7 linked regions of the Macaca fascicularis genome follow. The protein of the gene in region 6 interacts with the protein of the main gene of each other region in a pairwise test. Links are inferred from orthologs where the notes say so. Each region holds a gene or a part of one and is shown on either strand. Other genes may lie near its edges.

Evidence for each region.
Region 1: the proteins of PSMC5 (region 6) and RORA interact in a two-hybrid assay, tested with the Homo sapiens proteins (3 studies listed by BioGRID and IntAct). The link is inferred for Macaca fascicularis from reciprocal best matches to the Homo sapiens genes PSMC5 and RORA.
Region 2: the proteins of PSMC5 (region 6) and RORC interact in binary tests that used the Homo sapiens proteins (3 or more experiments, as listed by UniProt). The link is inferred for Macaca fascicularis from reciprocal best matches to the Homo sapiens genes PSMC5 and RORC.
Region 3: the proteins of PSMC5 (region 6) and PDC interact in a two-hybrid assay, tested with the Homo sapiens proteins (2 studies listed by BioGRID). The link is inferred for Macaca fascicularis from reciprocal best matches to the Homo sapiens genes PSMC5 and PDC.
Region 4: the proteins of PSMC5 (region 6) and VDR interact in a two-hybrid assay, tested with the Homo sapiens proteins (2 studies listed by BioGRID). The link is inferred for Macaca fascicularis from reciprocal best matches to the Homo sapiens genes PSMC5 and VDR.
Region 5: the proteins of PSMC5 (region 6) and THRB interact in a two-hybrid assay, tested with the Homo sapiens proteins (3 studies listed by BioGRID). The link is inferred for Macaca fascicularis from reciprocal best matches to the Homo sapiens genes PSMC5 and THRB.
Region 7: the proteins of PSMC5 (region 6) and NR1I3 interact in a two-hybrid assay, tested with the Homo sapiens proteins (2 studies listed by BioGRID). The link is inferred for Macaca fascicularis from reciprocal best matches to the Homo sapiens genes PSMC5 and NR1I3.

The regions. Positions count from the first base shown.
Region 1 is NC_088381.1:37,072,628-37,077,117, forward strand, and holds the start of RORA (nuclear receptor ROR-alpha), read right to left. Parts: upstream 3,032-4,490; coding exon 2,864-3,031; exon of another isoform or gene 1,570-2,863; coding exon 1,494-1,569; exon of another isoform or gene 1,394-1,493; intron 1,304-1,393; exon of another isoform or gene 1,228-1,303; intron 1-1,227. UniProt on the Homo sapiens protein: Nuclear receptor that binds DNA as a monomer to ROR response elements (RORE) containing a single core motif half-site 5'-AGGTCA-3' preceded by a short A-T-rich sequence.
Region 2 is NC_088375.1:109,391,367-109,394,620, reverse strand, and holds the end of RORC (nuclear receptor ROR-gamma), read right to left. Parts: intron 2,292-3,254; coding exon 2,130-2,291; 3' UTR 741-2,129; downstream 1-740. UniProt on the Homo sapiens protein: Nuclear receptor that binds DNA as a monomer to ROR response elements (RORE) containing a single core motif half-site 5'-AGGTCA-3' preceded by a short A-T-rich sequence.
Region 3 is NC_088375.1:43,957,311-43,961,925, forward strand, and holds the start of PDC (phosducin), read right to left. Parts: upstream 2,930-4,615; 5' UTR 2,863-2,929; intron 2,018-2,862; 5' UTR 1,976-2,017; intron 1-1,975. UniProt on the Homo sapiens protein: May participate in the regulation of visual phototransduction or in the integration of photoreceptor metabolism. Inhibits the transcriptional activation activity of the cone-rod homeobox CRX.
Region 4 is NC_088385.1:54,596,469-54,600,370, forward strand, and holds part of VDR (vitamin D3 receptor), read right to left. Parts: intron 2,212-3,902; coding exon 2,040-2,211; intron 1-2,039.
Region 5 is NC_088376.1:24,227,378-24,231,279, forward strand, and holds part of THRB (thyroid hormone receptor beta), read left to right. Parts: intron 1-2,358; coding exon 2,359-2,600; 3' UTR 2,601-3,902.
Region 6 is NC_088390.1:70,332,696-70,337,248, forward strand, and holds the start of PSMC5 (26S proteasome regulatory subunit 8), read left to right. Parts: upstream 1-1,708; 5' UTR 1,709-1,710; coding exon 1,711-1,763; exon of another isoform or gene 1,764-2,171; intron 2,172-2,366; coding exon 2,367-2,457; intron 2,458-3,767; coding exon 3,768-3,837; intron 3,838-4,127; coding exon 4,128-4,225; intron 4,226-4,412; coding exon 4,413-4,469; intron 4,470-4,551; coding exon 4,552-4,553. Other genes in the region: pre-rRNA 2'-O-ribose RNA methyltransferase FTSJ3, read right to left, coding at 313-392, 515-561, 825-930, 1,104-1,170.
Region 7 is NC_088375.1:99,834,026-99,838,506, reverse strand, and holds the start of NR1I3 (nuclear receptor subfamily 1 group I member 3), read right to left. Parts: upstream 3,141-4,481; 5' UTR 2,681-3,140; intron 1-2,680. UniProt on the Homo sapiens protein: Binds and transactivates the retinoic acid response elements that control expression of the retinoic acid receptor beta 2 and alcohol dehydrogenase 3 genes.

The sequences.
Region 1 (4,490 bases), on a different chromosome or scaffold from region 6:
GTGAGGCACTCTCGACATATATTGGTTTCAAGGAGCAAATATAAATTTTAGTATAAATTGCCGTTCACAATAACGCTTTTAAACCAGCAATTATTTATACTGTACTACTCGAGAAACCCTATAATTATTCTGAAAGCACTTGCCAACGTCTACCCTGTTTCATATTTGCCAACACAGCCTTGTTCAAAAGAATTAGTGGCGATGTCAAAATTCTGCTTGGTACTAGGGTTACTGCTTGAAACAAGAAGTGATTACACGATGTTGGGGTATTCAAGGAGAATGGGGCCAATAAAGTACCCTAAGAATGAAATTGTCTTGTATTCATATTCACAGGTGGGAAGAAAAGGAAGGTGGTGGTTGAAAGGGAAAAAAATTGCTTGAATTTTTTTTCCTTTTTTTTTTTTTTTAATACTTTCCCAAGAAATACTGTCATCTGTTGAGCAAAGTGACTTTAAGAAAATGGTTTTTCAAATGCTGGAAATGGTAGTGATTTGAAGGAAAAAAGATAACCCACTTCTCCCTCTTCCCCACTCCTTCCTGCCTGGAAAATGTTTCTATTTCCGGCCTTTACTCCTGATATTTGTAAGTGAATCTGGGTAGTGACTGTAGAACCTCGGCTTACACATCTCAAAACACCCATCTGTGCAGGTCACTTGACTTTGCTGACCTATTTTCTGCTGTTTCTTTCTGTTACACAAATCTCCCCCACTTGAAAGAGCAATAGTCCCTCTACTTTCCAATGAAGCACAGACAGCAGAGAGATTTCTCACTCTCTGTAAATGCAGAAGCTTTTGGAGTGTCTGGCATTTCAGGTGAGTGTTTAGGAAAAACCGGATGTCATCCTGGGTGTCTCTCTCATCTTTATTTCATGCTTTCTCTTTTATAAACCCACCCAATTGTGGACAAGGGGATCTGTGTTCCCCATCGCCAAGTGAAAATACATTCTAAATCTACCCTCAAAATTGAGGGTGCTGTGCAAAGTTTCATAAATAGAAACAGGCAGGAGAAAAATCTGGCTTGACAACTTCTGAATTTAAGCCATTTATTCTCACCTCCACCCCATTTCTATCCCGCCTCTTCTCTTTTTTGAACACGTCATGTAAAAGCAGAGAACTAAGGCAGCTACCTAAAATAAACTTTGTATTACTTGTCTAAATATTTTAGGGAAGTGTTTTTCCTATTCTGAGTGTCCAGGCTATTTTCTCAGTTCTCGTGTTCACTCTGCAGGTGAAGATACTGTCATTGACTGGGGAATGTGCCTGTGGACCATAACCCAAAGGCGGCATCTTTTGTGATAAAAGAGGTATAACCCTGTTTCATGAGTCTATTGGCCAGGAAAGAGATCCTCTGTGCCTGGAAGTTCACGGCTTCCCCTTTCTCTTCATCATTTCAGGTTCTGCGGGAGGCTCCATCTTTGATTCAAACCTCACTTCTTCCTAAAAGCCTTCGTAAATGAAGAAACCTTGCAAATTACAATAGATGTTTCCCCTCACCATTCATGTATCTAGTTTGTACTTCCTTATCTTCCTTTTGTGAATACAGTGGCTTGCCATTTTGCCTCGAGGAACACTTGTTTGTCCACCCCAATCCAGTGATAAAGGAGAAGGAAAAGATTTATCAGATCATGTATTTATGCACAGCACATCCCCAAACGCTTCAGCAGCAATAAGTACCCAAAAAAGTACTGTTTAGGTAGCCAACTCCCACTGTCTAATTTAATCCCACTGAGACTGGATGTGTCTTTTTCTCCTTTTGTTCTAAAGAAACTTCTACTACTATTTGCTGGCAGGAATAACTTTCTGCCACCTGTAGTACTCTCTGCTTCTGTGAAGGCTGAACTTCAAGTTGCTGTGAAAGAATTTGCATTATCCCTCTATAGTCATACCTAAAATTAACCCACTGTCTTAAGTTAAATAAGATCTAGAATGCTCACAACTGTTATGGTTATCCGAGAACTAGAGAGTGGGGCTTTCTGGCACTACAAGAGGATGTAGAAGATGACACATGTGGTTTGGCCTTTATTTGGAAGCAGCAAAAATCACAGAGGTGGTGGTTACAAGACAAAAAAGGCCAGGGGAGTGAACACAAAGTTTTGGCTGAGTTACTTTGTACTATTATGTAATGAGATACAAGTTCAGCCTTGCTTGAGTTTAAATAACCATAATGAACTGTTACAAACTCTGGGATGGAGACATTATAAACATAGGAAATTCTGTACTTGGTCCTCCAGTTGGTCAAGTCTACCTGTATTCATAAGGAACACATTCATTCCCTTGGGCTACAAGAGAAACATTCTGCAAACTGGAAATAGAAGTTACTCTCTGGATAGTTTTCTCAAAGAATATAATGAAGTAAATCCGAACTTCAGAAATCTCTGTGATCATGTATTTTAGAACATCACCAGAGCAAATAGCAATGAATCTCAGCTGATTAGAGCTTTAGTAAGTAATTGGGATAGCTGAATATCCAAATAGCTGGATTTTTATCCAAGTAAACACATGAAAACAAAGACGGCAGTTATCATAAATATTTTTAAAGGAATATTTCTAAATTATGACATATTTCTCTTCTTTTTAGAGAATTTTGAATAGAATTTACTTTCCTGATGATAAACATTCATCAGAAATTTTATTTTAAAATTTATTAGAAATTTGGAGAGCAGGATGTCTAGCCTCTGAATGGGAACCTTAGTAGTGCCAATGATGAAAGAGAGAATTAAATATGGGTGATGTTGAGAAAAGCAAGATTTTTGTCTAGAAGTATGCCCAGTGCCACACTGTGGGAAAGGGAGGCAAACACAAGACTGGGCCACATCTCCATGGTCTCTGGACAGAGGACAGCTCAGGCCTTTGGATTCACTTACACAGACGCCAGTGAAAACAAAAGCATCACCTGGGGACAGGAAACACTGATGGAGTATTTGAAGAATCCCAAAAAGTTCATCCCTGGAACAAAATTGATCTTCACTAGCATTAAGAAGAAAGCAGAAAGGGCAGACTTGATAGCCTATCTCAAAAAAACTAATGAGCATTAATTAGTTGGCCACTGCCTTGTTTATTACAAAACAGGAACATCTCATGACTTTTTAATGTGTACCGTGATTTAATAGATCTCATATACCAGAATTCAGATCATTAACATCTGACAGAATATTTTTGTTGGGCAGTTCTGTTAACTAAGACTGGATTGTGGTTAAATGAGTATGTTCGATGTTTCTTTGAATTTTGATAGTAATTTTGATTCAGTAACTGCTGTCAGTTTCCCCCTTCTGAAGATATGGTTGGACTTCATTAGTAATGTTCAACTTTTCATAAAGATGAATACCACCTTAAAACCTATTGGAAACTGGTTTTATGTTTAGATTTATATAACTAGTTATGTGAATATATTTAAATACTGGGGAAATTCCTTCACTGTCTCAGAATCAAGCAAGAGTCACCTGTATTTTGTGTTCTTTTGCCTCTTACAGGCAAGGGCTGAAGATAAGGTAGCAATGTCTACTTTATATTTTTGGCTTTGACTATGCCAATCTAATTAGAATTCCCTGTATCTAAAATGGTTTCCTTTACTTATAGAAAGGTATTTTAGTGTAGACTTTAGAGAAGTGCAATATTTAGAGTGATATTGTACACTAAAGTGTGATAGTTGAGAAGAGTTAAATATTTTTTATTTGATATTACACTTTGGCATGTACTGTAATATCAAATATACTTTATAAATAATAAAATCTTATAAATAACAAAATCTAATAAAAATCAAATAAAGAAATTTAATATTACACACCAAAGTGTAATACCAAATAAAGAGTATTTTACTCTTCTCAAAAAAATCTACTAGACACTTATGAAAAAAGTATTAAATTATTGTTTACGCTATAATGCTCTGAAGGCCTTCTAAGATTTATATGACATTTTGGCCCAACACTAAGTGCCCTGGTTGTTTTCCTTTTTATGTTTTTTCTTCCTCCTTCAGCTATTGTTTTCCTTCTTTCTGTAGTCATATGCTAGATCTTATGAGGCCCTCCCTCTACTTGTAATTAATATTTTGTCTTAGAATTAGCTATGTCTTGGAACCCAACCAGATAACTAAGCTTGTGTAAAAACCAATTATAAATAGGATGTACTGGGTCTAAAGAGATTTTCTCTGAAATCAAGTGCATGCACTGTAGTGCTTGAACTTTGGGATTCTGTTTTGGCAACCTAAAGGCCTATTTGCTGACTTCCTAACTTCTCAGATGGTTTGTGACAGCGAAGGTTGCGAGAGGACAGATCCATCACAGGTGAGCTATTGCTGTAGTAGGAAGGCAAAAAAGGTAATTGAAAGACCCCGTTCTTCAAATTACCAAGAGAAAGATGTCGTGCAGGGAACAGGACAATCACCTTTCTGTTATTTGCATTACGGCTTGATAATTATCACAAGTACATTCAGTGTGAGAGTTTCTCGATCTCTTCTCAATGCCTTCAAAAAGATATGTTATAAGACATGGCAAA
Region 2 (3,254 bases), on a different chromosome or scaffold from region 6:
GTGCCTCAACCCCCGCTGCCTGGCTGCCCGGCTGCTGCCTGCCGCTGCTGCTGCTGCTGTTGCTGCTGCGGCCGCTGCTGCCAAGACTGAGGTGGAGAAAAGAGCCAGAAAGCATTTCTCCTTTTTTTTTTTTTTTTTTTCCTCTCTCTCTCTTTTTAAACCAGGCAAGAATGAGTCTGCAGCAACCCTGTTGGTGCAAAATAAATAAATAAAGCAACCAGGGAGGGCTGCAGCAAGCACCACTACAGGCTGGCGAGTGACAGGGGAGGGATCCAGGAGGGAGGCTCTGGTGCCAGGGAGGGGTCATGCAATAGCAAGAGCAGCAGGCTCTAGAGGATCTCTCTGACATCCTGATTTCCCCACAGGGGAGCTCAGGCCAGACACCTTCCAGAGGATTGTCTTTTGGTCTCCCAGATGTGGAGCAATTCTGTGCAACCTCTAAATCTAAACGTTCCCTGTGGGTATCATTTATGGGAAGTTCTCAGTCTACAGCATCTCCTGTGGAGCTCAGTTTGAGGCTCCTATAGTGGGGGTTCCTGAGGATTCATTCACAGTCCTCACTGAGGGACTGCTCCACCTGGGAGAAACTGCATGGGTGGGGTGAGGGTGGGTTGGATCTGTATAATGCTGATGGATTGCTGAGCTGGAAATCTGAGTCTTGACCCAGGAATGAGACTGGAGAGCAGGCATGCAGGTAATCTAATTTAAGGATCTCCTCTACCCCCTGACACACACACCTCTTGCCTTTAAAATCATTTTATAAAGAATGGCACAAGTTGGGGTTTATGTTTACTCAGATGAACCTGTCCCCTTAGAGGACACAATCCACCCCCAACCCCCCAACCGCCCATCATTGCTGTTAATCCCTCAGGGGAGGGTTCACAGCTGTTTATGAAGCCAAGAGAGGTTCTGGGCAAGATCACAGCTGGGGAAACAGGCCCAGGCCCTACTCCCTGGTGTCCTCCATGTTGGAGTCAGCGGTGCCCAATGACAGGGTGATGCAATCGCATCTGCTTCCTTCTCCACAACAAGAGCAGGGCTAGCAGGCAGGCCAGCAAAGTCCTCCAAGGTCTGATCGTGCCTTCCGACTGGCCAGTGCCAGCCACCTCTGCTTCTCTTGGCGCTTCTAGTGGTAGAAGACAGCTGGAGCTGGGGTGGTGTTTGGATCACCCCAGGCCCAAGATCAGTGGACCGGAGCACCATGGAAATCTCTGGGGGGTCCCTCAGGATTGGGACTTTTCCCGAGGCCACTAGGCTCCTCCAAACTGTGGCCTCACGGATGAGAGAGATTGTGTCAGGTTCATGTGTCTCTGGAACTGCATGGCTGCTGTTGAGTCTATGTGTGTTTCCCCTGTGTATGGATATGTGACTCTAATCAGATTTGTGCCAGCCCCTAAAGTGTATTTTTAAAGTGCACATAAGAGGTTTGAGTTTTAACTCTATATCTGAGATGCTCTTGGCCTTCATTGTACCCTAGTCCCACACCCAAATCCCATAAAACAATTATCTCCAGCCTCTCATCCTCATCCCATCCATTTTTGGTTAGACCCCAGGAAAAGGGTAGGGTGCCCAAACACTTCCTTGTTGAGCTGGGAGGAAGGTAGAGGCAGAGAATGTAAAGCTCCAGATTCATTTTATACGGGTCCTTCTGGGCTCTCAATGCCAGTCTCTGAGCTTGATCCATCTCCCTCAGCCGAAGCCCAAAGGGAAATGCAATGAGGTATTTCAAAGGCTTATTCTTAGCTTCTGAGCTTCTGAATGAATTGCATTCTATTCATCCAGGGAGCCCTGGATGCCCCTGTTTTCTTGAGGATGGCTTGGTCCCCCAGAAGTCCTTATATCCCAGCTACCTCATGCCTTCCAGAAGCTGGGTGTGAAGGAATATGGGAAATGAGACAGGTCAAAGCTGAGGCTGGAGATGGCGTTCTGCCAGCCCCACCCTCTGGCGATTGTCCCACTGCCAGGCCAGCCTGCGGACAGAAAGCCAGTCGCAGCATCTGCTCACTCCCAAAGAGCTGGTGGGGACCACCCTCCAGGGTTCATGGGAAACGAAAAGGCCGAGGGTGGAACGGGGTCCAGGGAGGTGAGCCAGCAGGCCATAGGGAGAGGTAAGGAGTCCCTCTTCCAGGTCACTTGGACAGCCCCACAGGTGACTCGGTTTCAGTGCTGAAGAGCTCCTTGTAGAGTGGAGGGAAAGCGGCTTGGACCACGATGGGGTGGAGGTGCTGGAAGATCTGCAGCCTTTCCACGTGCTGGCTACACAGGCTCCGAAGCTTCCCCTTGGGTGGCAGCTGGATATGGGTTAATGGGGAAGGGAGGGTCAATACTTCAGCTCCCCTCAGAGCAAAGAAGTCTGCTCATTCTTCCTGGGCTAGGACCAACCCTCCTTGCCTTCCCCTTATGTACTTGGCACTTTGGTACCAGCCAAATCCCACTGGTAGAAGTACGAGTGTGTTCAGGACACTGGAGGGAAGCGAGAGTGGGTGGGGGACAGGTGAATGTTTTCTGGGTGAAGCCCTCAATTTGTGTTCCCGATACTTCTAGAATGAACCTTATCAAAGACTCTAATGTGCACTTCATGCTTTTATAAGAGTGACTGTCTGTGACTCTTGTTGTATGCGGTCACATGCCTCTGCCTTTGTGCATGTTGTTTCCCTCTTCCCGTTCCTAATTCTTACCCTCTAGTGTCACCTCTCCTAAGACTACTTCCCTAACTCCCCCCATCTGGATTAAGGTCCTTCTTTTGGGCTTTCCTCTGTGTAGCACTTACCACATTGCAGGAAAATGGTCCAATTTGTCTGCCTTCCCACCCTAGATTTCAGCTCCTTAGCTGGGGTCTCTCTTTCCCTGTCTCCTCTGTGCCTATCATAATGCTTAGCACATGGCAAATGCTTAATAACTCTTTGAACTAAACAGACTTTCTAAGCAGGCGCCTAACACTGCAAGTCAAACCAACGCTGCCAGCACTCAGCCAAAGGGAAGGTGAAAAAGGCGCAGAAATCAGTGAGCAGACGGAGGCAGGGAGACCTCACCGGAGCAAGGCTGAAAGAACAATTTATCTCTTGCAGTCTCCTCAATAACCAAGGGGCTTAAACATGTCTCTTGCCTGCCATTGCCTCCCTCCCCCTAGCTTAGTTTCCTTGGAAAGAGGGAGTCAGGGAAAAGCAGGCAGCAGGGTATGATCCCTTCATATAGAAAGATCCCTGAATTCTTTCTCTTCCTCCCCACTGCTTCATTCTGAGCTTTTTTGGGCT
Region 3 (4,615 bases), on a different chromosome or scaffold from region 6:
AACTGACAAAAATTCTGCTTCATTTTATTGCTAGAAATCTACATTTGGCATCTTGATCTGTGTCCCACAGAGTGTCACACTGTGTTCTAGTCACCCTTGCAGGGCTTTATGCCCTATTTTTCTCTGCCTCTAACTGTACATCTCCTTAGGTCTCTGCTTTCCTGTTTTCTAAGGTGACTGTGAGCTAATCTGATCAACTAAGCCAAGCTAATGTGCTCGCCAATACAGATACATTAATATGAAGTGTTTTAACCCCTTCCATGAATATCTTCCCCAATGCCATATTGGACTCTATAGAAAGTAGTTCTGCCTTTCCTTTCTTATTACAATAAATTATCAGTGGTGAGAATTTCATATCAGATAGCTTTGACAACACCATGTCAGATCACAAAAGTATTACTGGGCTTGTGGAGACTTTCAGTGTCTCTACAAGAGACACAAAGGAGATTTTATACCTCATAACAATTAATTTCTTGAATTAATTGGAAGTGAAAAATGGGAATGATTATTTGATTTGAATGTAGCATACTTGTTTTCCAACAAATTGTCTTCCTTACCCATGATTTTGCAGATCATAAGTGATTTTCTGTTTGATTTTCCTTTTTGCATTTATGTTGTAATGCTTTATATATCTTTTCTGAATTTCAGTTCTCTAATGGAGTAAGACAAAACTTAGGGTTTTTGTTACTACCTTCAATTATGTTAGTTGTTAATTTTGGGATAGATCAACTTTTACATTTTGTGGTATCATAATAAGAGTTTTCTTTAAAATTAAATTTTGAGACGGATAGTGGAATACAGGACACGTGGTCCTCAAAATGCCTATAACAAATTAGAAAATTGTTGGCAGTCAGCAAATGTTAGTTTTCTTTCTTTTAAATACAAAACACTCATCTTGATGCTGTTGAAAAATTTCCTTACTTTATGCCTGACTTCCCCCTACCCCCAGTATGTAGATAAAGTTCATAAGAACTTTGATAGAAAAACTATGATAGAAATTTTGACATAAGACACTATAGAACAGATGTAATATTTTCTGTTTCTACCCTACTCAAATAGTTTTGCTTTTTCAACATCTATGGGACTGGGCAGGGGAGTTGTAGGGAGCCTTTTAAACAATTTGTATGTCAGGAATGCATAGCAAATATCAATTTCCTGTCTGTTATCCTGTATCATCAATTAAAAAAATTTACTCTGGAAATATGAGCTTTAAAAGTCATAACTGAATTCTTGTTCCTAGTGAAAAGACATCCACCAATCCAATTTTGCTATTACAACATACAGATATTCTTTTACTTGTTCTGGAGAAAATAGAATTTATAACCGCCATCTTTTTAAAAGTGTCTCTTTATCTTGTAAATATACATATTCCTGTACATATTGTTTGAATTCCATTGCAGACATTATTATGAATGGTTCATATATATTTTGATAATGACATATAATGTCAAATCCACTTATAAACATAATATTTAGGCAGAAATCGTCTTGATGAATTAGATGATCTCTAAGTTTTTTCTAGCTTTAATATTAGGTGATTCTAAGTAGCACGTACAATGGACAATATGTATATTATATATATTTAAAATGGATTCTATAGTGAGAAGTTATTTTTGCAGTTAATAAAAATACTTCATTGCAAATCAATTACTGCACTCATTTTCATAATGCAAAACTGTAAGGTTTATTGGTAATAATAATAACCTCCATGGGAACAAAATAGAAAAAAAAAAAAAAAACAACTGAAAGAAAATTTTCACTGAATTTAACAAATATCAACAAACTCTCAGTGTTCTTTTCTTTTAAAACCATTATTTCTGTTCCATTAAATTTCTAAAGTAACCTTTCAAAACAAACATTATTTCTACTTTAAAAATTAAAAACCACCAACAAACCACCGCCACAATAACATACTACTAAGGAAAAGCCTCAAAACATGCCTTAGCGCTGGATGAATATAGTAGTCCTCACTTACCTGAGGTTTTGCTTTCTGTGATTTCAGTTACCCTTGGTCAACCTTGGTCCAAAAATATTAAATGAAAAATTCCAGAAATAAACAATTCAAAAGTTTTAGATTGTGCAGTGTACTGAGTAGCTTGATGAAATCTCACACTATCCTGCTCTGTCTGGCCTGGGACATGAATCATCTCTTTGTCTACCATATCCACACCATACGCATTACTCTCTTGGTTATCGGATTGACTATTGCAGTGCTTGTGTTCAAGTAACCCTTATTTACTTAATAAGGTCCCAAAGCACAAGTGTTGTGATGCTAGCATATTGTTATAAAGCTTCTATTTTATTATTAGTGATTATTAACCTCTGACTGTGTCTAATTTATAAATTAAACTTTATCATAGGTATGAATGTTTAGGAAAAAAACATAGTATACACAGGGTTCAGTTCTATCTATGGTTTTAGGCATCCAGTGGGGGTCCTGGAACATATCCCCCTTGGAAAAGGGGCAACTACCGCACTCCCTTTCCAACTTGGGAGCCAGATCTTCCAACATAAAGTTCAAGGACTCATCATTTATTCCCTTAGTTTTCCCTTCACTCAAAGGAAATTTAAAATTGCAAAATGAGTTCTCCAATCATGGTCTTATTTTAATAGTCTAGAATATCAGGCTAAACATTGCATGTTTACTCTGAATCTGTATTAGTGAAGATGACTGGTGGAAATCACTGAAAAGAGAGAAGGATACACTGTATTTAATTGTCTTTGTAGTAGAGAATTCAAAACTTTATGTACTTTGAACTATTTTAAATTAACACAATAATATATAAACAGTGAATCACTATTCTTTCCCCTAAGGTAAAATTTTAAAAATTATATTATCAAAAGGACTACTTGTGGACTCACTGTTTGGATCTCTGTGCCTGGTGTCCTTGTTCAGTGGGTGAGAATCCCTGTCTACTGAACTCCTCTTGAACTTCAGTAGGTTTAAGCTCAGATTTAAAATCCCCAGATATTGATGACCCTTGCAGAAATAGCTCTGAACAAGTAATAGGATTAACAGAATTAGCAAGACCTATTCATTTATAATAAGGCAAAGCCAAACAAAGAGTAGTCAGTTTATATTTTACAGAACACATTGAATGGATGAGAGACAGAGATCATTATGAGTACTTATTTATCACAGTAACATGAGTTGTATTCATTAGTCCCATAATCCTCTATTGAGCACTTACTTTGTGTGAAACAAGCAGTACCTAGGCACCAGGGTACAAAGACAAGTAAACCCCATTTCCTATATCGTGGGGCTTGCAGTCTAGTGGGGGAGATAGGTAAGTAAAAAGGTAATCACAATGAAGTGCTATGATTACTACAACATTGGGAGGAGTAAGAGAGATACTATGATTTTCATCTTCTCTTACTACAGGCTTTTAATACAATTTTTTTCAGATGGGCTTTGTTTTTTTTTTTTTGTTTTTTGTTTTTGTTTTTTTTTTTTTTTTACAGATCTTGCTTTCTGGATTCTAGTTTTATTGGCATTTTCTCCTTTTCACTTCTCCTTATTGTTTCTGGTTTTTGCCATTAAAAATTCCTTTCCTGCTGTTTTTTAATGGAGTTTTGAGATGTAAGGGAAGTAGATGCATGTGTTTCATCTTTCGTCTTTTCCTAACATCTTTAATTCTTACAACCAAATTCTCATCTAACTTTGCCAAAGTAGGAGATTTAATTTACTCTAAGCTTAAAACTGGAAATTTTTAATTAGCAAGAGGACAAAATTTTAATATTAATGGCAATTAAAATGAATACATTTAGATATTTAAATTATAAGGTTTAGTCATACATAGCTTCACCCAGAAACTTTAAGTAGATCTTAATGCAATTTAAACAGTGATAGTGTCTAAATAAATTTTAATAGTTATGTTTTATTATACTAAATTAATTTGTTATTTATTTACTCTGTTAGTAGGAGGGAAATCTGTCACATTTCAGAACTTTGTTGGCTTATACATTTTTTTATCGTAGAATTTGATTTGAAGAATAGAAAAGAGTACATAAAATTTACAATATTTAAGAGTCACAACCATAAATATTTTCATAGAGATTCTTCCAGAAATCAAAGTATTTTCTAAATTAACTTTCATTTTCATCCTTAAGTCAGATTTTTACCTCGCATTTAGCAGGTTTCATGTTTACCTCCCATTTAGCAGGTTTCCAGTTTGTGTGCTATACATGTGCTTTTCAACAAAGTTTCTCAGGGCAATTCACTTTCAGTTTTTATGAACTGAGTGTTTTTTCTCTAGCTAAAGAATCTAGAATGTAGTCAGGTACAATACAAATGTAACTTAAAAGATGCCTTCTGATGGCAAATGTGAAGAAATTTAATATTTCAGTTTGATGATAAAAAATGTCATAGTGGTTTTAACATTCAAAAATATGTTTTAAGTTACTGTCAAATATAGTGTGGTACTCATATGTTCAAATATGTAATATAGGTACAAGTATAGAGACTTATGGTTAAAAAAAATTACTATAGCAATTCCTATGCTACCGCCACCTTCCCAACACAGATATTTTCATAATTTGCTTTTTATTTTGTGCTATCTCTGGCACTTGTTTACTGGAAGGATTTGGGGTCATTATGGACTTCACACACTTGCCT
Region 4 (3,902 bases), on a different chromosome or scaffold from region 6:
ACTAGCCAGGCGTGGTGGTGCGTGCCTGTAATTTCAGCTACTTGGGAGGCTAAGGCAGGAGAATTGCTTGAACCCGGGAGGTAGAGGTTGCAGTGAGTTGAGACTGTGTCATTGTACTCTGGCCTGGGCAACAAGAGGGAAAGTCTTGTCTCAAAATAAAATACAAAAAATTAGCCTGGCATGGTGGCACACTCCTGTAGTTCCAGCTACTTGGGAGGCTGAGGCAGGAGAATTGCTTGAACCCAGAAGGTGGAGGTTGCAGTGAGATCGCACCATTGCACTCCAGCCTGGGTGACAAGAGCGAAACTCTGTCTCAAACAAGAAAAGGAAAAAAAAGAATATTAACACTGTATGAGCATTTAAATATAAGTATTATATACACTGTTAGTGTTACAACAATAAAACATGGGAATAAATGAATGAAATTTATATGAGTGAATTGATAAAGGAGGATCCCTTCTCCAGTAGAACTCCTTATACTTACCTATTTTGGCAAAAAATGTTTCAGTATGGTTAGGAAATGGTCTTTATTTTTTTCTTTTCTGAGACGGGATCTTGCTCTGTTGCCCAGGCTGGAGTGCAGTGGTACAATCATGGCTAACTGCAGCCTTGACCTCCTGGGCTCAAGTGATCCTCCTGCCTCAGCCTCCCTAGTAGGTGGGACTACAGGCATGTGCCACCACACCCAGCTAATTTATAAATTTTTTTTTTTTTTTTGTAGAGAAGAAGTCTCACTATGTTGCTCAAGCTGGTCTGGAATTCCTGGGCTGAACTCCTACCTCAGCCTCTCAAAGTGTTGGGATTATAGGCATGTGCCACCACGCCTGGCCAGGAAATGGTCTTTAAATGGTCTTCATTTTGGTGAAGGATGCCGGGGTCATATATGCCAGGAAACCTGTCTTTCTCCAGGATTCCCAGACTGTTTCACAAGTCTACATGGCCAACCCTTCTCCTCTCTATCACTTCATTCTACTCTCAGAGTTGGGGTGTGGAGGAATCATGTCGTTGAATTTAAAGAGATAATATGAGGATGCCAGTCAAGCCAGCTGGAGTAACACAACAGTGAGCTGGGAGTTCTAGGCCTGGCTCTGACGTGCTGGCTCCAACACCAGGAAGGGATCCTGGCTGGCCATTGGACCTTTCTGGGCTTCTACACCATCATCCAGAAAGTGAGGGGATGGACTAGCTCTCCAGTGCTGGCCTGCAGAGTAATGCAGGATAGGCTGCACTTCATAATACAGATTTCTGGTCCTACGCCAGAGGTTCTGATTTAGCGGGTCTAGGGTAGGGCCTGAATCTCTATTTTAAAAAAGCAATGGAGGCTGGGTGTGGTGGCTCATGCCTGTAATCCCAGCACTTTGGGATGCTGAGGCGGGTGGATCATATGAGGTCAGGAGTTTGAGACCAGCCTGGCCAACATGGCGAAACTCCGTCTCTACTAAAATAAAAAAATTAGGGCAGGGTGTGATGGCTCACGCCTATAATCCCAGCACTTTGGGAGGCCGATGCGGGTAGATCATGAGGTCAGGTGATCGAGAACAGCCTGGCCAACATGGTGAAACCCCATCTCTACTGAAAATACAAAAATTAGCCGGGCATGGTGGCATGCACCTGTAATCCCAGCTACTTAGGAGGCTGAGGCAGGAGAATCGCTTGAACCTGGGAGGTGGCGGTTGCAGTGAGCCGAGATAGCGCCACTGCACTCCAGCCTGGGTGTCAGAGCGAGACTCCATCTGGAAAAATAAAAATACATACATACATACATACATACATACATACATTAGCTGGACATGGTTGTGGATACCTGTAATCTCAGCTACTTGGGAGGTTGAGGCAGGAGAATCGCTTGAATCTGGGAGGCAGAGGTTGCAGTGAGCCAAGATGGCGCCACTGCACTCCAGCCTGGGTGACAGAGTGAGACTCCATTTAAAAAAATAAAAAATAAAAAAAAGGAGTGGTGGATGGGTGATCTCCAGCCCTTCTTATAGCTCAGTCTAGGACTCTGACTCTGTTCCCTAGATACTGCAGAAGTTTCTTACCTGAATCCTGGGATCATCTTAGCAAAGCCAATGACCTTCTGGATGCTGTAACTGACCAGGTCAGCCAGGTGGGGCAGCATGGAAAGCTGGGACAGCTCTAGAGTCAGAGAAGGGTCATCTGAATCTTCTTCACTCAGATCCAGGTTGGAGAAGCTGGACGAGTCCATCATGTCTGGGGGAGATGAGGGAAGAGAAGGAGCTATTTAAGGGTACTTGGACCAGGACCACTCCTGCCAGCCCCTGCAAAGACCTGGTGTGCCCTGGCAGGAGAGCCAGCTGGGAATCCCGCAGTGATTCCAGAGGTCACCCTTCAGCCCAGGCTTCCCTCTGGGACTCTCTCTGCCTCTTTCAGCAGCGTGAGACAGTAAAAGCAAGGAGCCAGAGACACTCAGAGCAATGAGACTTCCTCAGGCAGACCATGTGCTGTTCCTACGGATCTCAATCAGAAATGAATTTGGGACCCATCAACCCATGGAAAAAAATGTTCAACCTTGCTAATGATCAAAGAACTGCAATGTAGAACATCTACACTTTTCACCTATAAACCAGAAACAAAAATGTTTAAATACTGATGCCAGTATTTATAAAGATGTAGGAAATAGGCAATGCCTATGAGGGCTGGGGTGCTAAAGGAGATGCACATTACTGCAGGTAATCTAGAAAGCTATTTGACATTAGTGAAACAATTGTGTGTACTCTTTGACCAGTAATCCCACTTCCCGGAATTCATTGTAAGGGAAAATTTCAGATAAGTGTAAATATTTAGCTATAAGTATACTGTTGTCTTACTAAAACACTGGGAAATAATCCAGATATCCAATAGTAGGGGATTTAGGTACATTATTGTATTCCAAAATACTGTGCAGCCTTTAAAAATTATGTTCTGGATGCATACTAAATTGTAAGGAAAAACAATGCAATATTAAAAAAACAAGTCATCAGATTGTATACAGCAAAATTTCTTTTCTGAATGTACATATGTGTTTTTAAAAAAAGAGGCAAGAGATATATTACAGTGCTAACAGTGATTATCTTTGGGTAGCAGGATTAAAGTATATATATATATATAATTTAGTTTATGTTTTCCAAATGTCTAAGATGAACATGTATTACTTTTGTATAATAATTTTTTTAAAAAATAAAAAGGTTAACTTGTTTGAATTTTTAAATAAATATATGCTATACTGAACACACCACTTGTGGGGAGGGCGGTTTAAGCACCTTGAATCAGTGAACTTACAAGAGGGTATCAAAAAACTCCTAAATAGGCAGGGCGCAGTGGCTCATGCCTGTAATCCCAATACTTTGTGAGGCCAAGGCAGGCAGATCATCTGAGGTCAGGAGTTCGAGACCAGCCTGGCAAACATGGTGAAACCCCATTTCTACTAAAAATACAAAAATTAGCCAGGTGTGGTGGTGGGTGCCTGTAATCCCAGCTACTCTGGAGGCTGAGGCAGGAAAATGGCTTGAACCGGGGAGGCAGAGACTGTGCCACTGCACTCCAGCCTGGGTGACAGAGTGAGATTCTGTCTCAAAACAAAACAAAACACAAGCAAAAACAAAAAACAACAACAAAAAGCCTCCTAAGTAGTATAGAATTACTATTGAAAGCTGAAATACAGAGCAACATATGGATTAAACAGACTGGCCTTAATTGATATAAATAAATATGCTATCAACTGAAAAGAGCAGGAAGGTGAGTACAGAAAAGTGACAAGTGGGAGGGATTCCTACGAGGTGAGGGGCTGGGAGGGTCAGCTGATCATGCAGGGAGCAAGTGTTCTAACTAGTATCTCTGTCCAGGGGCACTGGGACCCTTTCCATCTATTCTGGATCTGGGCAGAGATTCATCACTGAGTATGG
Region 5 (3,902 bases), on a different chromosome or scaffold from region 6:
ATGAAGAAATTAAGCTACATACACAGGAATTATATTTCTGGAGGGACTCATGGTAATTTTTTTAGCTGAGATTTTAGAGGTACAAAGACAGTTTTAAATAATGTTGAATCACACCATGAGAAAGCTATTTCTTTGACAGTTTTCTCTTCCTGGTTATATCTCCTTCCAAATAAGGGAAGGAGAGAGACTCAGTGTGGTGCTAGTCTGCCTTTAACACCTCTCTAACACTTACTAACCTTCCTTTTTAACAAAGAGAGAGTGGATCTCAGGAGCAATGTGCAGCAGAACCTTCAGCTCCAGAGTAACAAAGGCTTTTGCCATGCATCCATTTTTGTGGTTATCTTCTTATGTACGTCAAATGGATTTTTATTACTGAATAATAAGATGTTTCCTTTTTAGTGGGTCAGTTTCACAGATTATTAAGCAAATCATCTTAGTAAGGTAGATAAAGGGAGAAGTAGGTGGAGATGGCAAAAACTGAATGTGATGCCAGACGCTATCAAACACCAAAGTGAATGATTCTTCCCAGTTCTCTCACGTTGTGAGGCTGACACTGCCTGACAGCTACAGGACAACTTAATAACTTTTCACAACCCACCCTCCCTAGTGATGTGGACCCTCTTCATTAATACTGCCAGGACCAGGAAAATATTACAAGACACTGTGCATTTGGCAAATGATAGCTGCCTGTCGGAGCCCCAAGTCTCCAATTCCTCTGCAGCCTGATGTTCTAAGCCCCCTGTTTTGTGTGCCATTTCAGTTACACAATATCTTAGACTTTTTCTTCAAAGACTTTTCCAAGAGCCACTACTTCTAAGTTCCTTGGTCCTGCAGTGCAAAAAGAAAAAATGAAAATGATCTGAAAGACATTCCTTTGAGAACTTTTGTCTTAAGGAGTTAAAATGGTCTTCAGTCTTTAAAATGTTTCTCTCTTCATAAACCTGTTCAGTGTGATTCAAGCATCAACAAAATGTCAATTCGTACTCGTTATGTCACTTATGTGACCATCTCATCTTTATCTCTTTTGTGGCATTAGCCACAAAACCCACATTGTATTTTCCCTTTGAAACAATACATCCGAAGCAATAATATGTTGATCTTCTATCTGGATTAAAAATTAAAGGATCCTGTGGAAAATTCTTGCACACTCAAAGAAAGAGAGAAGATAGGGGAGAGGGAGAACCAGCAAATCCACAGAGCAGCTTCATCAAATATGAAGGAAAACACAAGATAAAAATGTACAAATTTCCATTTGAGCTAAATAGGGGATTCCAAAAGCCCGTATGGTTTGTTAGTTTGTTTAGACTCAGAAGGGCGAATTGAGACATTAGCCCTGATTCTTCCTTTCCAATGAAGCAGAACCCTGTTTAGATTCCTACTGATACAAACACCTCCAGAATTGGACCTTTGAAGTGTGAATTCATTTGAATTGAAGAGAACTGAGCAGGGGCGTGTTGGGCCTCCTGGAGCTATTTGAGGAATTCATCCAGGTTTATAGATTATTTTTGTCACCCAAGTGTCTGCAGCCCAGCTATTCCCCAGTTGTCCAGCCTCCTTGTGTCACCCCTTTGTTTATCACTTTTGGAAACTGACTTGAGCCTCTGCCACATACTGTGGGAAGCCCAGTAGTCTATGCAGGACTTGGGAAGATTTCCTGGGCTTTCCAGGGTCCCGGTGTCCTCTCACTCCAGCTCCCACTGTAGCTGTTCTCTTCTCTGCATGGGGTGACTCTGGCACAGCTCCCCTCCCCTTTTCTTTTCATTTCAATTCCAAAATCATGTGTAAAACAAGGCTGCTATGGTAGCACTTTTACTAAAGGCATAAGGAAAGGGAAAGGCCAGTTCATTGCAGCCTGGAAGACAACACAAAGTTAAACATGGTGTTTCTTGGTCCTCAAGGAAATGTCTTACTATTCCGCATTCCTCCTTTGGCCTCAGGCCTGCTGCAATGTCCCCAGTCCCTTCATATATCTCCCCTTTCTATGCATGTCCATGCTAGTCCTCTCCCCTCTCCCAGGCAGCCAGTGAAAATTCAAAATTGTTCCCCTCATCTTGCAGAATATTTCAGCTGTCAGCCTTCTCCTCCTATACCCTAGGAGGGGGCATCACCTTTCACACCCAAGAAGGTGATCTAAACAGAGATATTTATCTGAACAAAGTACTGCCTCTCTTCATAGAAATGATGCCACTCCCCTGGTACCTGGTCCCTGGAGCACCAGAGTTCACGCTGCATCCCTGCTTATGGCTAAGAGGGAAGACCCTAGATCTGCCCGCCTCCCACTAAAGGCCTGGAATTGGACAAAGCAAGCCTTCCCTCTTCCATCTCTGAATCAATGTCCATCTTGTCTCTTCCCCGCAGATCGCCCGGGGCTCGCCTGTGTTGAGAGAATAGAAAAGTACCAAGATAGTTTCCTGCTGGCCTTTGAACACTATATCAATTACCGAAAACACCACGTGACACACTTTTGGCCAAAACTCCTGATGAAGGTGACAGACCTGCGGATGATAGGAGCCTGCCATGCCAGCCGCTTCCTGCACATGAAGGTGGAATGCCCCACGGAACTCTTCCCCCCTTTGTTCTTGGAAGTGTTCGAGGATTAGACTGACTGGATTCATTCTCATAATTCCTACAGCACTACTGGGTGTCATTTCATTCCATTGCCTAGCTCTTTTTTGTTTGTTTTTTTGTGTCAGGAGGGATTATTTGGGAGGGAAAAGGGAAGTAGTCCTTGGCATAGACATGGATGAAATTGCCCCTTGAATGCGGGTACTTGAAACTATTGCATTTCGTTCTCCGGTCCTTTGATGTGAATGCTCTGAAGGTTTTACGGTTGTGGAGGTGGGGTGGGGGACAATCATTAACTCACCAGCACCAAGCATCACCAGCTCCCACCCATCCCCAGTCCGAGACTCGAGTCAGCAAAATGGCGCTGCAGGACACTAAAGAAGCCTTAAAACCAAGATAATACGACCACCTCCACCCAATCCTGATGTGTGCAGGGCTGAAGTTAGCAGAGTACAGACCACGTTTAGTTAGATGTGGCTTTCAGCCTTTTAGGGAAAGACTTGAACAAATTTGCATCTGTTCAAGAGCATGCTGTTTCCAGCACTCTTTATCGTCTCCTAGGAGCGTAACTTGGAATGCACAGGAATATTTGTGTCCTAAAAAATCAGTTGTCCTTCCAATATCATTTTTATACCCTTATTAGATTTAATTCAAGTTATACAAGGGTGTGACTCAAGGATGTACAGATATTGACTGATTGAGGCCAACAAGGAAAATAATTTTTTTCAGTGAGCCCAGAGAAATTAGAAATCTTCACCAATGTCAGTGATTCTATGGTTTCCAAAAATTCATAGTATTACCTCACAGTAGGAAGGCTTCTTTCCCATTTAGGCTCAGAGAACACTTACAGAAATCAAACCTATTCACAGGGTGGCACCCCTTTTCTGTGGCATCTGATCTGTCATCTCCCAAGCTCCCGAACTTCTTTATCCAGGTTGTATCTTTGCTGAGCTGACAACAGATTTCTCTATGGATCAAATATTCTAATCAAGGAAAGATACGCTAAAATTTCAGTCTTCTTCCAGAGAAATTCTGAGGAGAGATTAGTGCAGCTACATTCTGAGTGGAAGGAAATGCAGTGTTCTGAGGGCCCCTTCGTGTCCTGATGGCTGGAGGATGCTTCCTTCTGGTTAGATCCTCAAGCTCCTTCCCTCGTTGACAAATGTCTCCTAGTCCCCTTTTTCCCTCTGACTCTGAGGCACTGCATAGCTTGACTATCTCTAAACAGAGACTGGCCCTGCTACTGACCCTCCTGTCCCTCTTATAGCACACCCTGACAGATACTCAATAGAAAACACCTGCAGACCATGTGCACACTTACCTTTCCTGCCCAACCT
Region 6 (4,553 bases):
CTACCAGGCACAGGAGATAACAATAGTAAACAAAAACAGTATGTCTCTACCTTCATGGAGCTTACAGTCTGACAGTGAGTTCACAGGAAAAAACTTCACTAAAGATCTCTGCCCTTCTCCCAATTCCAAACACCTTTATCCCTGACTCTAAATAAAGGTTGGAGTGGGCACTACGAATACCATGGGTCTTGTACAAATGTCAGGCAAGAATGTGCTCAAAGCATGGTAAATAGAAAAAAATTGCCTTTAGAGGATTTCAGGGATGTGGATGTTTCCGTATAAAGGGGGAAGGAAGAGAAAGACTCCTATTACCTGCCTACAACGTTCTGTTGTGATGTCCTCCTGGAGAGTCACCACATTGGGGAGAGGCTTGATTGGAACCAGGTCCACTCCTGGAATAAATCAGGTCAGAGTATTCTAAAGGGTTGCCTCAAGCAGGGAGGAGAGAAATACAGGACAAAGTACTTTATACACCGACCCCTTAAAACATCAAGGAGAGCTGTCCGTTACTCACCCACAATAAGGCTGGATACAGGCATAAACTTGGCAGCTACCTGCAGCCTATAAAAGGAATAGGAATTTAAAAACCTACAGCCATCCTTGTCCCCCTCTTGGCAACTGACCTCTCATCCCTGGTGTTACGTGCACTGGCCAGAACATATCATAGGCACGTATTCCAAGTCCTTTCTCTGCAGTCAAGAAAGGAAACGGCCTCCAAGGGGACCGGGATTCGGGATTCCTCTCCCGCAATGAAACTGGAAACCATCGCAGCTCAGAACACAGAAAGCGGCCACCAGGAGCAACCTGTGGCAAGTGTTACGAACCATCCCCCTGGCGCAGCACACAGGTCCAGCAAGGCTCGGGCTTTCTGCAGGAACTGAAAGCGGCGATTGAGCTGGATCAGCTTGAAAGCAGATCGGGAACGGTAACCTGGACAAAACAACCAAGTGCGCAGAGGGCTTCACCATCACCAGCAGGATTTCTCCAGCCTCGCAACCCACTACCCCTTCTGCAGGAGAGGTACACAATGGTCAGAAAGAGCAGGCGAACCGGGCAGAGATCGCTCGCTCGCTCGCACGCAGACTGAGCGAATCTGGACTCACCCGTCTCCTTCGCCAAGTGATAAAACTTGTCCCGTCGGCTCTTGCCAACTTTGCCCTTCTTGCCCATGGTGGAATGGGGGAGTATCGCTCAATCTGGGGAGAAAGTAGAAGTTGAGGACGTCTCTTTCCGGATCACCAGATTCCTCTTTCAGTTTCCCACTTCCCGCAGCAATTCCACTCCGCTCCCCTCTCCGCACACTCTACCTAGACCCACGGCCGCTTTCTCCACACTCGGAACCGCACATGTATGCAGCAAACGTACTTCCGCTTCCGCTTGCGTCCCTGGCTCGAGGTTTTCCGCCATTTTGAGTGTGGCCATAGATTGTTCTCGGTACTCTGTCCTCGGATTTTGTAAGTTGAAAGTTGAGACTAGGAAGGCACATTACAAGAACTACAAACATAGTTTCAATGAGGCAACATTGAGGAGTTCTGCTCCTTCCTCTTCCCCCTCCAAAGCCCCTGAACTCTCGTAGCCGCCCCTCCCATCATGGTCCCCTTAGTTAGTGTGGTCTGGCCGCGCACCCCGCCCATTGACCCGGAACTCTTCTCTGCCTGGTCTTCAGGTCACAAGCCTCCGCTTCCGCGCCTGCGCGCAAAGGGGACTCGGATGCCGGCGGTCTCTGCTGAAGAGAGAAGATGGCGCTTGACGGGCCAGAGCAGGTATGGCGGCTGCAGTGGCGGCCCGGCAGGTTACGGGGCTGGGTGCGGAGCGAGCGTAATCTAAGTGGAGAGCGGGCCGGGGCAGGAGGGTTGGGTGGGTCGGAGGTGGCTGGAGTAGTCCAGGCTGGACGCTGCCTGCGACTGGATCTGCTGTGTCAGCGCCGCCCTCGGTGAGTCAGGGCAAGGCTGGGAGAGGAATACGCGGTAGAAGCGGAGTGAGTGAGGGGAGCGATGGGCGCGGGAACGGCCGGCCCACGGGTCGCAGGAGACGGGACGCCAGTCCTTCGGCTCCGTTCCGCTTGCTCCGTCGGCAGTAACGACACCTCGGGCTTGTAGAGCGCTTCACGCAGTGCAAAGCGCCCCCGTGTATATCATATCGCCTCTCGGTCCTCCTAAAAGTCGTACAAGGTAGGCGGCGTTCCCATTTTTTTATTTTAGTCGTGGGAAAATGGAGGGTTCCCAGGGAGGGAGGGATTAGAACCCAGATGCTGAGCCTCCGAAGTCCAAACTTTTTTTACTACGCAAAGCTACCTGGTGTCAAACCTTATTCAAAGTGCCCTGCAAGTGGCTTTATCCCCTCGGATGTTTAACCTGTCGTTTAAGACTCACTCTGTGTCTTCAGATGGAACTGGAGGAGGGGAAGGCAGGCAGCGGACTCCGCCAATATTATCTGTCCAAGATTGAAGAACTCCAGGTGAGGACGGACTTCAGAGAGAGCTAGGAAGCGGGATGATGGGGGATGGAAACGGACTTCCACAAATCCATCTAATTCCACTGGGAGTGCAGTGGAAGAAGCTGCTGCTTCTCCTTTCTTGTTTGTTTCTTAGCTAGTAGGGTGTGTGTATCAGAAGTAAGCAATCTCTTGTTCTCCTCCAGTCCCACCCCTTTGAGGGTCATAGTGTTCACAGTTTGTTAAACATTTTCAAGAGTCAAATCTTAACAGAAAAGGTACCTCTAGCCAAAGGTCAGCCCTTTTGGAAGAAGCCCGAATGAAAAGGATTCTTATGAAAGGGAAACAAGCTCAGGAGATGAAATTTATCACCAAGAGGTTGGGTGAGGGTGAAGTGAGAATGTGAGGAAAGGCATCATTGAGGCATCTGGATAATGCTAATTCCATAGAGACTGAATGAAAGAAATTGGGCAACCCAGAACGCTAGCCTAAAGCGCTAAACCATAGAAAAAGGACCGTTTATGTTGTTAATGAAATGTTTATGTTTACCAGTAAGGCTTCCAGCAGTAAGGTGTGACTCTCAGTAGTAGGTATGGCTTCCAGTAGTAAACATTACCAACAACATAAACAGTAGGCTGTTAGTGTTAACAGTGTTATGTTACAGTAGGCTGTTAGTAGTTTAACTTTGGACAAGTCCATGTATTTTCAATTTCGTCCTAATCCCCTGCGTTGTTCAAGTGTCATCTGTAATATAAATTGGATGGGGGAAAGCCACAAAGAACAATTCTGAATTCCAAGTGCATTTGCAGGTATTATGTTTAGTTAACCATTTTGGAATGCTTTTTCATGTGTTTTTATTCGTTCACTTCAGTAGTCCTGAAAAGGAGCAGGGCAGCTGATGCTATACCCATGTGCCATTTGGTAACAGATCTAGATTTTTTAAAATAGATTGCCTGAGCTTTACCTTGCTTTTGATTGACAGCAGCTGGGCTAGAACTCAGACTTCTCACCTAACACTCTTTCCACTAGGTGATGTTGCCTTCCTGTGAGAAATTTGGTGTTACATGAGCCAGCTGTAACTTTTCTCCATTAGATTCTGTTATTCCTGGACCAGAATTGGACAAGCAGCCTTCTTTGATGGCTGCCATAAGCTCCAGAGGGACTCTTGGAGGACAGGGCAGGGTCATTAGAATCATACTGGAGAATCTGAAACAACACACAGGTGCCCTGTGCCCTTCCCTCAGCTCATTCTGACCTGTGAGGTCTTGGCCAAGATCCTACCTCCTCCTGTCTCCTGCCCTTGAGTAATGGAATTTGTCTCTTGTCTGCCACAGCTGATTGTGAATGATAAGAGCCAAAACCTCCGGAGGCTGCAGGCACAGAGGAATGAACTAAATGCTAAAGGTGAGTGGGGAAAGATGGGAAGCCGCATGTGGGCAGTTTGTCTGAGGTCTGTCCTAACCTCCCTGCACAGTGTCTTCACAGCAGTGCTTACTGTTTTCTCCCTGTCATCTAGTAGTTTCACATGCATCTCTTTTTCCCGAGCTCCATTGTAGCCTCCTTAAATACATGAATTTTTATCTTTGGTCTTCCTTTAATAACTTAAGAATGATGCTTAGCTCATGCATGTAGAATTGGGTCCTGGAAACTCCAAAGGAGTAGCTAGGTGACCACTGTGTCTGTTTGCCATCTAGTTCGCCTATTGCGGGAGGAGCTACAGCTGCTGCAGGAACAGGGCTCCTATGTGGGGGAAGTAGTCCGGGCCATGGATAAGAAGAAAGTGTTGGTCAAGGTAAAAGCAGCATGACCCCAGGGACCAACCAGCTCAGTCTGCACTGGATTCCCACCCCTTTGTGTGTAGCCTTGGGAGACAGGGTTCTGTGTTCTGTCAAGGTATTGTGGGATTCTCGAAGGTCTTCCTGGGTAGGGTTAGTGATTTGGTGGCTGTCAAGGAAGATCATGAGCTCTTCTTTCTTTAGGTACATCCTGAAGGCAAATTTGTTGTAGACGTGGACAAAAACATTGACATCAATGACGTGAGTGTAGCAGGTGAGGTGGTGGTGGGGTCAGCTCTTATTTCTTATTGTACCACTTCTGAAACTCACCCCCTTCACCCAGGT
Region 7 (4,481 bases), on a different chromosome or scaffold from region 6:
CATGTTGGCCAGGCTGGTCTCAGACTCCTGACCTCGTAATCCACCTGCCTCGGCCTCCCAAAGTGCTGGGATTATAGGCGTGAGCCACTGCACCTGGCCTATTTTTCTTTGTTTTGCTATTATGTCTTCTGCTTCTTCACTTGCATTAAATTATAATTAATGTTTCTCTAAAGATGAGTTAAAACCCCAAGTGCAGGCTAGAGTCATAAACACACACACACACACACACACACACACACACACAGAGAGAGAGAGAGAGAAAGAGAGAGAGGGAGAGAGAGAGAGAGAGAGAGAGAGAGAGAGAGAGAGAGAGAGACTGAGTTAAAAAGATCCTTGTTTAGTTTACCAGAATGAATTGGTAGAACCCCTAATCTCAAGTGGTATAGCATCTAACTATGCATAACTTTGCACTTTGAAATAAACTGAGTTCCAGAGAGCACAGATGCTTGGATCTGTTCCTTGGGAGATGGTAAGAATATTTATGTGTATGTATCTGTTGGTGTCTTTGTGACTCTGACAATTCATACTAGTTTATTCAATCAACAAATATTGACCAAGAATCCACCTATGTCTTAAGACACTAGAGTTAAAAGATGAGTAAGATGCTCTCCTACTCTCATTCCCGCTAATGGGGGAAACAGACCTTTACACATATATAAAGAAATAGAGTCAGATCAGTGATGGTGCCATGCATAGAGCATTACGGCACTGAAAAAGTAGGGCGCTCAATAGGGGTATTGAGGAAGAGGCAGGAAAGGCTTTCTGGAGGTGTGGCAACTGAGTTGACTTTTAAAGGGTAATGATGAATTAGCCGGGGGGGGGGAATATAAAAGGCAGTTCAGGCAGAGGGTGCAGCCTGAGATGGTCAATAAGCCAGATACAAAAAGGTAGATATGGTAGAACCACAGATGGGCCTCTCTTGCTGGAGCATAACATTTCAGGCTGGGAGTGGGAAGAAATAAGGTTGGAGAGGTGCGATATAAGGCTGAGATGTAGGCAGATCACAGGAGACCTCATGTGTCAGGCTAAACACTGAGTCCATCAGGAAACTTTGAAAGAGAAAGCTGTGAAATGACATTGTCATATCTATATTCTAGATAGTTTAGTCTGCTGGCTGTTGGATTTGAGGGGGCAGGACTGAAGGCAAAGAGACCAGTTAGAAAGCTATAGCCATAATGTAGGCAAGAGAAGATTAAGCTGGAGCTAGGATAGTGGAAGGATGTAGGAGAGGAGAGGGTTTTGAGAAATACGTGGAAAGTGAAATTATTGGAATTTGGTGACTATTATAATGCCTGGATTAAGAAAGAAGACAAGGAATTAAAGATAACTCCAGGTTTCTGGCATGGGTGACTGAGTGGACGGTGGTACTGCCAACTGGGAGAGAGACTACAGGAGGAGGACAAGGGCCCTCCATACTTGGGTGCCAATCCATTTTCACAGTTGACAATTTACTCCAGTAATAAGTTATCAAGTGTCCACTCATGATTAGCACCAGAAGGAGAGACCCTTTACAGAGGTCCCTATTACAGAGACACTTCCAGATTAATTATGAAGACTGAATAAATAAATTGAATTCCTAGGTCTTAAAAGAAAATATATAATCAAACAAATGTTGTGGTAAAGACTATGTATAATATTATAGGTATTAATTGCTCCCTTAATTTATTCTTCTTGTGTACCCAGTATGAGCAGAGTACTATGTAAAATTCCTTGCCTGTGTTAACACTGTAAGATAGGTAATATCGTCATTTTACAGATGAGAAAACTGAGGCTCAGATTGTTTAGATAACTTATACAAGGGCCAATATACCCAACAGTTTATTAGATGACTCCACTTGGATTCACAAAGGCACCTCAAATTCAATATGTCTAAAATTGAATTGTCAACCCCCCCACAAACTAACTTTTCCTACATTACCTGACTTGATGACTAGTCCAATGTGAGAAAGTGGAAAGAACATGGGCTTTGGGGTCATATAGACTTACGTTCAAATTCCGACTGGCTCTTGCTAGCTGAATTACTTATTCTTTGCCGCTTCTCTAATTGTTTGCCATGACTGAGACCCAGCCCCATGGGGCTCTGAGAATCAGATATCATCAGGCTGAGCCAACACTGGACCAGGGAAGGGAGACATACTTCCTCTTCCTACCTCAGCAGTGAATGCTTAGGGAGAAGTTAGGCTAGAAAGATGTTCTGGTCCAGGGCTGCCCTTCACCTGGGGCCAGGGATTACACTAAGCTTTGTTCTTCTTGCAGAAGTCCACCCTGAAGTTCTTTGAGATGGGGTTTCCTTTGGAACAGACTGCTTTGAGTTTGCTCTTCTGTGTACAGAAACCCTCCCCTGGCTTCAAGGTCTCTCTATAAAGCAGACAGAGAGTAGAATCTGCTGCAGGATGCCCCTGGCATCCATAGCGAACAGGCTTTCAGGGTTAACTGATACCCTCACCCTCTTCCAACATGCCTCTTCCAGGCCAGGGTCTGAAAAACACCTGTGAGGATTGTGACCTGATGGGTTAAGCTCTCTGAATTTCAGTTTTCTTTCCTGGAAAAAAAGGGTTAATAACACTCGTTATCCAGGTTTGCTGTGAAGACTAAACAAAGTAATAAAGTAGTAAAATGTAAAATTCTTTACAAGGTGCTTGAAACATGCAAGGAAATCAACATATATTCATTCTCTTACCTTCTTCCTTTCCTTCCCCTTTCACTGCTGTCTTCTCCCAGATGCCAAACCAGAAATTGGTGAGTCACCTAGTCTCCTTTCTCTCCCTCATTCCCTATAAATGACCAAATGCCATGACCTGTCATTCCTATCTTCTGACCTCTACATGCCCACTACCTCTTAGCTGCGTTTAGGCCCTCATCATTTTCCACTTACTGCTGCAGCAGACTATTCAATTATTCTCCCTGCTCCCAGCCTCATCTCCTTCCAACCCATCCTCCATGCTGTTGCTATTTCTAAAATGCAAATTTGATCGTGTCTCTTCCCTGCTTAAAATTCTTCATTTGCTTTCCATCACCTTCAGGATAAAATCCAATCTCTTTAGCATGTCACACAAAGTCCTTTGTGATCTGGCCCCTATTTAATCACTCTGGCTTCACCTATTCTGTCTCCACTTCCCTCCCCTGACCTAGCACATCACACTTTGGCTCTAGATGTGCTTAAGCATTTAGAGTTTCCCGAACAAGCTGTGCTCACCCACCTCTGAACATCTGCCCTTGTTGTTCCCTCTGGTTGGAATTGCCTCACACATCCTTATTTTCAAACCCTCCTCCCCTCATCCTCCTGATCCTCTTGGTCCTTCAGGCCTGGGTACTGCAGATCACCTCAGTGAGCCTAATAGAGCTACACCTCTGTACACAAATTTGTCACAGCACTTATCACACTGCAGGACAACTGTCTGTTTCTTTCTGACTCTGTCAATCAACTGTGAATTGGTGAAGTCAAGGGCTGCACCTGTCATTTGGGGATCCTTAGGGTCTTATGTACTCCAAGCATATATAATAAATATTTATGGAATGAATAAATGGACTGGGATACAAATTAACATCTGATTTCAAATCCATGCTCTTTTCGTGCAACATCACATGCTATTGTTTGCGAATGAGTACGCTCATTCATTCAATAAATATGTAATGGGTATCTACTTTGTGCCAGGCATTTTGCTAGCACTATCTTCTGAATACATTTCTATTTCCCTTTTAGCTGCTTTCTTTTTTATTTTTATTTTTATTTTTTTTGAGCTGGAGTTTCGCTCTTGTTGCCCAGGCTGTGAGTGCAGTGGCGTGATCTTGGCTCACTGCAACCTCTGCCTCTTGGGTTCAAGCAATTCTCCTGCCTCAGCCGCCCAAGTAGCTGGGATTACAGGCATGCACCACCATACCTGGCTAATTTTGTATTTTCAGTAGAGATTGGGTTTCACCATGTTGGTCGGGCTGGTCTCAAACTCCTGACCTCAGGTGGTCCACCCGCCTCTGCCTCCCAAAGTGCTGGAGTTACAAGTGTGAGCCACGGCACTCGGCCTAGCTGCTGTCTTCCAAAGCTTGTTTTTTTTTTTTTTTTTGAGACAGAGTCTCACTCTGTCACCCAGGTCGGAGTGCAGCGGCTTGATCTTGGCTCACTGCAACTTTCTCCTTCTGGGTTCAAGTGATTCTCCCGCCTCAGCCTCCTGAGTAGCTGGGACTACAGGTGCACACCACCATGCCTGGCTACTTTTTGTATTTTTAGTAGAGACAGGGTTTCACCATGTTGGCCAGGCTGGTCTTGAACTCCTGACCTCATGATCCACCTGCCTCGGCCTCCCAAAGTGCTGGGATTACAGGTATGAGCCACTGCACCCGGCCTTTCATAGCTTTTTAAAAAAAAATTCTGAGACATGACCACTCCGGGAGGCGAGGCGGGTGGCTCACTTGAGTTCAAGACCAGCCTGGCTAACATGGTGAAACCTTGTCTCTACTAAAAATACAAAAAATAGCCAGGTGTG